2 linked regions of the Neodiprion lecontei genome follow. The protein of the gene in region 1 interacts with the protein of each later gene in a biochemical or structural test. Links are inferred from orthologs where the notes say so. Each region holds a gene or a part of one and is shown on either strand. Other genes may lie near its edges.

The links.
Region 2: the proteins of late histone H1-like (region 1) and histone PARylation factor 1 form a complex in vitro, tested with the Homo sapiens proteins (2 studies listed by BioGRID). The link is inferred for Neodiprion lecontei from reciprocal best matches to the Homo sapiens genes H1-5 and HPF1.

The regions. Positions count from the first base shown.
Region 1 is NC_060262.1:40,413,088-40,417,011, forward strand, and holds late histone H1-like, read right to left. Parts: upstream 2,704-3,924; 5' UTR 2,562-2,703; coding exon 1,869-2,561; 3' UTR 409-1,868; downstream 1-408. Other genes in the region: histone H3, read left to right, coding at 1-105. UniProt on the Homo sapiens protein: Histone H1 protein binds to linker DNA between nucleosomes forming the macromolecular structure known as the chromatin fiber. Histones H1 are necessary for the condensation of nucleosome chains into higher-order structured fibers.
Region 2 is NC_060265.1:5,898,785-5,902,708, forward strand, and holds histone PARylation factor 1, read left to right. Parts: upstream 1-1,383; 5' UTR 1,384-1,490; intron 1,491-1,579; 5' UTR 1,580-1,743; coding exon 1,744-1,875; intron 1,876-2,082; coding exon 2,083-2,619; intron 2,620-2,713; coding exon 2,714-2,862; intron 2,863-3,108; coding exon 3,109-3,347; intron 3,348-3,474; coding exon 3,475-3,776; 3' UTR 3,777-3,901; downstream 3,902-3,924. Other genes in the region: rab proteins geranylgeranyltransferase component A 1, read right to left, coding at 1-105, 192-378, 477-668, 864-930, 1,033-1,081. UniProt on the Homo sapiens protein: Cofactor for serine ADP-ribosylation that confers serine specificity on PARP1 and PARP2 and plays a key role in DNA damage response.

The sequences.
Region 1 (3,924 bases):
GGACTATTTGAAGACACCAACTTGTGCGCTATTCATGCTAAGCGCGTAACCATTATGCCCAAAGATATTCAACTCGCTCGTCGTATTCGCGGTGAACGCGCTTGATTTTCTTCATTTGACAAATCATTACAACCGGCCCTTTTCAGGGCCACAAATAGTTTTCGCCAAATATCGTTTCATACTGTCACGAGTTATTGCACATTATCATTCCCCATCTATCAACCCAATTTTCTATCACAGGTAACATCGATACCACAATATCGTCCCATAACCACCTTCACCACATGGTTTGCCCCCGGTCGATTTCAACGTGACATGTGCACGTATCTTCGAATATGAGAGTCCTGTTTGTAGACGGTGAAAGAGAGCTCAATGTGCTCCATTCTATACGTATTTTGATCAAAATCACTTCGATACATTTTCACTTTATGCCGCAATTAAGAGGCAGCATGAATTCTACGAATCTACTATTGCAATATTGTAGAATCTGTGCCACTTCTGTATTTCTGCATCAAATCAACGTTTTATTCGGAATTGTGAATACATATGGAATGTGGCTGTTGAGTCCTTTTAAGGTACATGGACTTTGATAGATGGAGATACATATGGCAACGTCGAAATCGACCAGGGCACCCCCTATAATATATTATATCATCGAGTCAACGTGCTGCAACACGCAAAACCCCAAATACCAAACCTTGCATTTTTTTCTCACGGAAAATCGGAGCAATCATCAGACAGCCAGATATACATAGAATACTTTACCTTTCGTTTTGACTTTTTTGTACTTCAGCTTTATATATTTTGAAATCCTACGAAATACACTTTCATGTGTTTGTAAATTCGATGTGTGACCTTTTTATTTTCTGATTTTTCTACATTTTTGACTCCACCCGAATTCATCGGTTCTACACCGTTGAATATCACGGTGTTCAATGTTGATCGCAACATAATGCACAAACGCTATACGGTTGAAAAAAATAACAGCAAATATACGGGAATTTTGAATTTTCATATCGCTGGATACCCTGGCTTAAACATCATCTTATAGATGAACGAAATAATTGTCAGATTAAACTGTATTTCGTCAAGATAATTTCGATACTGCCTTTTAACCTCTTCTAACAAAGCCGTGACATTCGCGCAATTTCTCGTTTTTTAGGGGAGAATGAAAAAAAAACAATGTTATACCAGTAATGTTCAGTTGAGAGAAAATCGATCTTCATTTTTTCAAAATACCGAAAAACAATGTTCGACGTCATTGAACAGGATTTTACACAAATACATACCATACATACCCCTTTGACCTTTGCTACAGCAGCTGTCAGAATTGAATAACGATAACCAAGCAGCTGATATTTTTCCTACGGGGTCTTTCAGGAACTCCGGGATTGTGCATTGTGCACTCGGCTCATGTATAATAATAGCAAGGGTCTGAACACTGAAATGTTGCCAAGCAACTGAAGCCCACCTCACTTAAGACTCCCATTCGCCGGCAGATATACGGAACACGATTCCGCTACAATTCCAACAATGGTTCAGACCTAAACAATAAATAATTATAATATCCCGGAAATCAGCTGCAACTGTGCAAGATACTATTACCTAACAGCAAAACCTAATGCAAATTCTTACTCAAGCCGACGCTCTATGCGTCCACTATGGTCGTACAAATACCTCTGCTGCGAAGGAAATTACAATTTATGGACGTTTTTTCCATGGGATATACCTATATGGGATTATTGGAATATGGTTCAGGGCATCGACGATGTCAATTCATTTGCATAGATATAAATTGATGGCCCTGAGAAGGGCCGTTTAAATTATTTTTCTGACGATTGCTGGTGTTGGTGACGAAATGTAGCTGTTCACTTCTTCTTCGGTGCTGCAGCCGCCTTCTTGGCTGCCGGTTTGGCCGCCTTTGGAGCTGGAGCAGCCTTCTTCGGCTTCGGAGCCTTCGGTTTGCGGGTAGGTGCCTTGACTGCTTTCTTTGCTTTCGACGGAGTCTTTACTTTCGGTGGTTTTGCGGCCGGGCTCTTGACAACCTTGCGTTTCTCCGTAGCGGCTGCAGGCTTCTTTGCGGCTACCAATTTTTTGGCGGCGGTCAACTTCTTTGGGCTTTTGGCAACAGCTGCCTTTTTTGGTGCAGCTGGCTTTGCAGCGGCGCGCTGTACCTTCGGCTTTGCTTTCGGGGCGTCGGTCTTCGCGTTCGCGATCTTGAAAGAGCCCGAGGCTCCCTTACCCTTAGTCTGCAACAATACTCCCGTAGTAACAGCAGTCTTCAAGTACTTCTTGATGAAAGGAGCCTGTTTCTCCGCGTCGATTTTGTACGTGACAGCAACGTACTTCTTGATTGCCTGGAGAGACGATCCGCCGCGCTCCTTCAAGCTAGCGATAGCCGCGTTCACCATCTCGGAAGTACGTGGGTGCGCCGGTTTTGCACGGGGCTTCTTTGACTTGGGCGAAGCCGCTGCTCTTTTGGCAGGAACGGCTTGAACGGCTGGGCTGTTAGCTGCAGGGTTAGCTGCGACTGCCGGCGACGATGCTGATTTGTCTCCCATAGCTGATCGATCTAGTAGTCGCGATGAAATGATCAAAACACCACTACTGACAATGGAAAATTACAGCTGAAAGACCGTCAGAGACACAAGTAAAGTTTATACTGTTTAATGCGTTTGCGCGTATGATCACACTGGTAGTTGAGATGGATAATACTCGTAAAAAATCTGAGCAACAGTTTGCTAGTATAGGATAGCGCGGACCATGGAGAGAGACCGTGAGCGCGTTTTAGGCGGTGCGCTTCGCGACGTTCGCGCGTGCGACACTGACCGAACGGTATTTCCTCGGGTGTTTTACTGTCGCCATCGAACTCCTGAAGACCTCCTGTTGCTACCAGGTACTACGAAGTATGCTCTATCGACTACGCAAGATTTTTGAACCGTCGCGGTAAAGGATCCCTTGTAAAAATCACTCTCCGCGAAGCGTGCGTCTTGACATCGACCACACCCTGAGCAACGGTCGCCCTGGTGCTGACCTGGGGGGATGCGATCGAATCTTTTCCAATGTACCAGTGTGAGCTCGAAGCTTTGCTCTAGTTCCATGCAAAAGCCGAACCTCGTATCTGCACTTGTCTCCGTGATATAAGCGATTGAAATTCGGGAGGTCGCGACTAAGTCTACGACGAGCTAGACCTGCTTTTTGCAGACGAATGTCGACCCGGTAGCAGTGCCGAGGAACGTCGACCTGGGTGACAATGTCGGGAAATTGTAATTTCTGGACACATTCACGGTAACGGATGTCTAATTAATGAAAATTTGAACGTAATGACACCGTGCGAAGCTACTAGGACCGGCCCAAGGTATCCAGCAAGTCGAGGTTCTGCGTAGTTTGACATTACGCGGAGCAGCTGATTTGTGTATAAGGAAAATTTTCTGCATGTATTGATGGTGGAAGTATTGCATCGAATTTCCAGAAATTTTGATAATCACAACATTCTCAACTCAATTACGGCCAGGTGGCTTTTACTTATTGTTAAAGCTAAAGAAAGAAGTAAATCATTACACTGCGGTGGATTAATCAGGGATTCTTTAAATCGTTGAAAACTCGTGTAAATGTGGAACGTACGCTTGTATGCCAAGAAACTCTACATTTTGTATATGTATGATAAATGGTTCACGAATAAATGTTATGCGTCCGATTTAAGTTTGAATTTGAACCGTCTTATGACCTTGAAGTCAGCGTTGATCAAGGGAAGGTTAGCGAAATTGTTTTCTGGGACGACGTAGTTGCAATAAAGAAAAATGGAGCGGGTATACAAATGCGCAGTATTTTTCCATTAACTGACTGTTACGCTACTGCCATACATTTCAAACCGGTATATCGAAATACCGGATATGCTAGATAACTCGGTATGACCTGATTTCT
Region 2 (3,924 bases), on another chromosome or scaffold:
GCCATCCATGTAGGTAGCAACTCGAGAAACAGCTCTGAACTCTGCATATCGAGCAATGTTGCTAGAGATTAGGAGTTCTACCAGTTCACCGCGAGCAAACAATAGCTGTGAAATGAATCAGGATAAGTTTGAATCTTAGAGCAATTTTACAAGATATATGTGTTTCAGTGGTATATTTTGTTTCCTCTAACCTTTGGTGCCAAGTCGATGTTAAATTTTCGGTATTCCTTTTTAATCCGATCAATGCTCCATTGTTTGACAGTTTCTTTTTTCTCACTTTTATCTTCATCAGATTTCTCCGCTCCGTCGTTGGCTGCTGTATCTCCAGAGCCATCAGTTTGCGTGTCTTTCGTCGACAGTACTGGCAGGTCTGCATCACTGTCAAAATATTTCAAGAAAAATTAATTAATTGATTACTGTGATCCGATGAGATTTTGAAACTATCTGTTTCGATAAAAGTTGGCAACTCGACTTACTTGGAGATAAACCATTTTTCAATGATATTTTCAACAGTGGAATATTGGTTGCTGGCTTTTAAAAACTTCTCATCAGCTTGAAGCAATGAAGTGGTATCTGCTACGTTCTGTTTGGGAGATTTTAGATCTTCTATCCATTTTTGTAGACCATCGAAATTAAAGGTAGCCCAAAGACCACCGTAGTATTCATTGCTAAAAATTGAGGTTTCGTGTTAATGGATAAAATATTAAAAATACAAGTAAACAGATGGTGCTTTTGTTGAGAGAGTGCCTACAATCTACGTTTACATTAGTAAGTGCAGACTTTTTTACCGGCGGTTCGTTTCAGCGTTTTTTTACAATATGAATTTATATAGAAATTTATGAATAAAAAGTGATAACAGCTACCTATCAAGGTGTAGAACCCTTTTTCCGATCCTGCTAGCCGCCGCGGCGACGATGGATTCGGTCATTCCTGAGTAAAATAGTGATAAATAATTTAGTACGCTTGACAGAACACGAATGAATTGAAATATATTCTAATATATCGAGGTTTGTGATATAAAAAAATCAATACCTGTACCCACGACGACAACGTCGTATTCGGTCGGCAGGTCGTCCTCCATGGCTCGGAATAATAAAAATAACTATTCAACTCGTATAACTTGTCGCAGATTGTACCGTTTCAAGAAGCACTGACCGAAAACAGTCAATTCATTATTCGCTATTGCTCCCTTATGACAGATTTCGCAGCTAGCAACCCCATTCGCGACTCGCCCCTCCTCGCTCAGGCTTTCACCCTTTTTTGTTCAGAATTTGACAGTTCGGTCGCTCCGTCGGCGCTCCGCCAATCCCCGTTTAGAATTTTGCTGCATTTTGCTGCGCGTCCACTACGCGTCGCAATTTTGTGCCCGTCCACTTCGTTACTCGTTGCCAACTTCAAGGCTGCCAATACAACGACCGCGTTTAGGAATAAAAATCTTCGCGTATCAACACGTAATTTGACGCTTTGCGTTGTGCTTTTGATCCAAATAGGTTGATCATTTCATTCACATTTCTATCGCATTTTTTTCTACCTCGCTTTTCGACTTTCTTCGCCAAATCTATCTCTTCGACTTTTTCAGTTAAAAAACGAAACTTGAAATTGCCGCTGTTGGCGAATTCACAGTTTTCCAACCGCCGCCGGATCGTCCCGAACTTAGTCACTTGATATTTGGAACGATATTCGAAAAGATTCAAAATTCAACGCTGTGAGAGAGTTTAATAAGTTTCTGATAAATCAAACGATATGTCCAGTTTCGATGAACTTTACGAGACATATGTCAAGGACCCCCGAACCCCTTGCAACTATGGTGTCAAATGTTATCAGAAGAATCAAATTCATCGGGACAAATATAAACACCCACCTCCGGACGATCGAGTGAGTTAACCTCAATAACGTTTCGATTTCTACATTTTTCTCTGAACAATCAGTTGAATTTTATAATATTATACTACGTACGTAATACACTTCTGTTCGCAAGCTATAACCGATATTGGAAAACCTTCTTAGCAATTCCTGCAAGAGTTCTAGAAGTTGCTTCTACTCCTTGTTACGCTAACACAACAGCTAATGTGATTGTTCCAGAAGGGAAAAAACGGCACTAGATCGAAACCTAAAAAACGCACAAGGCTGGATCGGAGAAATGATGAAAAGGACGAGCCATCAATTACAGAATCCGACTCCGACTCAGAAGTTCCTGAGATAACTTCGAAGAAATGCTGTGTGTCGCTTGATTCATCTGATCAAACTGCAAGTGCTGGTCAAAGCAGTTCAAAACAAAGAGAATCTGACGTAGGAAGCGAAGATGAACAGAAATCTGATATTGTTAGCTATTCGAGGAATGAGACAGAAGATAATGAAACAGAATCGTCGACTCTTGTGGACGAAAAAGAATTTATAAAAGAAAAATTTTTGGTACATATGCCGTCAGACTTTTACAGCTTCTATGAACTTTGTAAAGAGATATCGCCTAATGACCCTTGCAGCGCATTCAAAGCTGCTGATCTTTTACTTGTTGGACCATATGATGTTTTGAATGGAAAATTATTGGATGCTAAAGTTGAGAATAACGACCTGTATCTCAGGCACTGGAGATACTTTTATGACCCTCCCGAATTCCAGGTTCGCTAAGTTATTTATAGCGTTGAGAACATTAGATGTAGGATATTTATCTGGTCATTTTAATTGCTTTTACTTTCTACAATTTCTTTTGCAGACTATTATTAAAGGCAATGACAAGGAAGGCTTGCATTTTGGTTATTGGAGAGACGAGCCAAAGAAGAATCCTGTTTTCGTTGCTAAAAACTCTATGAAAGTAGATTGCAAGATTAAACCTATGGCAGAAACTGTCTTTGGAGCTGTAGAGTAAGCTGATTTACTAAAATTAGGAAGGTATCTAATCCACATTGCGAGAATTATCTGATTTTTGGTGAATCCTGAGGGAGTGACTAAAAAAATTGAACGAATTTGCAAAGAATTAAAGTCATACATTTCACTGTGCCCAGGATTACAAATTCCTCTCAAAACTGGATTTATTCTCTATGGAGGATTAATTTAAAACTGCAATACTATTTTAAAATATCATGGTACAAATGCGTTCTTTGTTCAAAGTGATTATTTGGAGGAGAAACTTAAGACGACTAATCCATTCGCAAAGCCTAAAGTGGCCAGCTTGCGTCAGCGGCTAAAAAAATTCGCAAATGCTCGGTGCATCCGGTTGGAAAAGAGCACGGAAACCATGAGAGCCAGGGAAAGACTAGTCGTAGCCAGAACGTTTCATCGTGCAGGAATTGTGGTGCCATATAATAAGAAAACACAATTGGGATACAGAGAGCTGGCTGCAACTGATGGTCGAGTGTTTTTCATCATTGTAACTTGTTGTTCTGTTGTGATAGTTTTTCCCCCTAGAAATCAGAGAAAAGAAAAATTCATAAAAACCTGAAAATTCGTCACTAACCATTAATTTTTTACCTTTAGGAAATCTGAAGAAAATTTTAAAACAAATCGATGAATCAGAAAACGACGCTGAAAGATCTGATCACTTGATTAACCTCGAGGAAGTAGAACGACTGGCTACCATCGCCGCTGACGAGTGCGATTTCGGAACGTGCCTAGAATTGGGACACGACCTATTTTCAAGCGGTAGCGAGTATGTTCAGACCATCGCTGTTCGAATGCTTACAACCGCATACAGTCTGCTTAATCGTCCGGAATTTTTGAAAATCGTCAAGGCGCATTGCTGCGATAGAAAGACAGGCTGTGTTCTCGGAATCATTTAACGAGAAAACTGGATTGAAGCCGTAAGGTAATTTTTAAGATATGTTTTATTAAGATATGTCCACAAATACTTGTTTATGCTATTTCTTTTTTATAAATGCTAAATAAAAAGAAATACGAACGTGAATTTCGGTATCCGGCGCGGTGTAT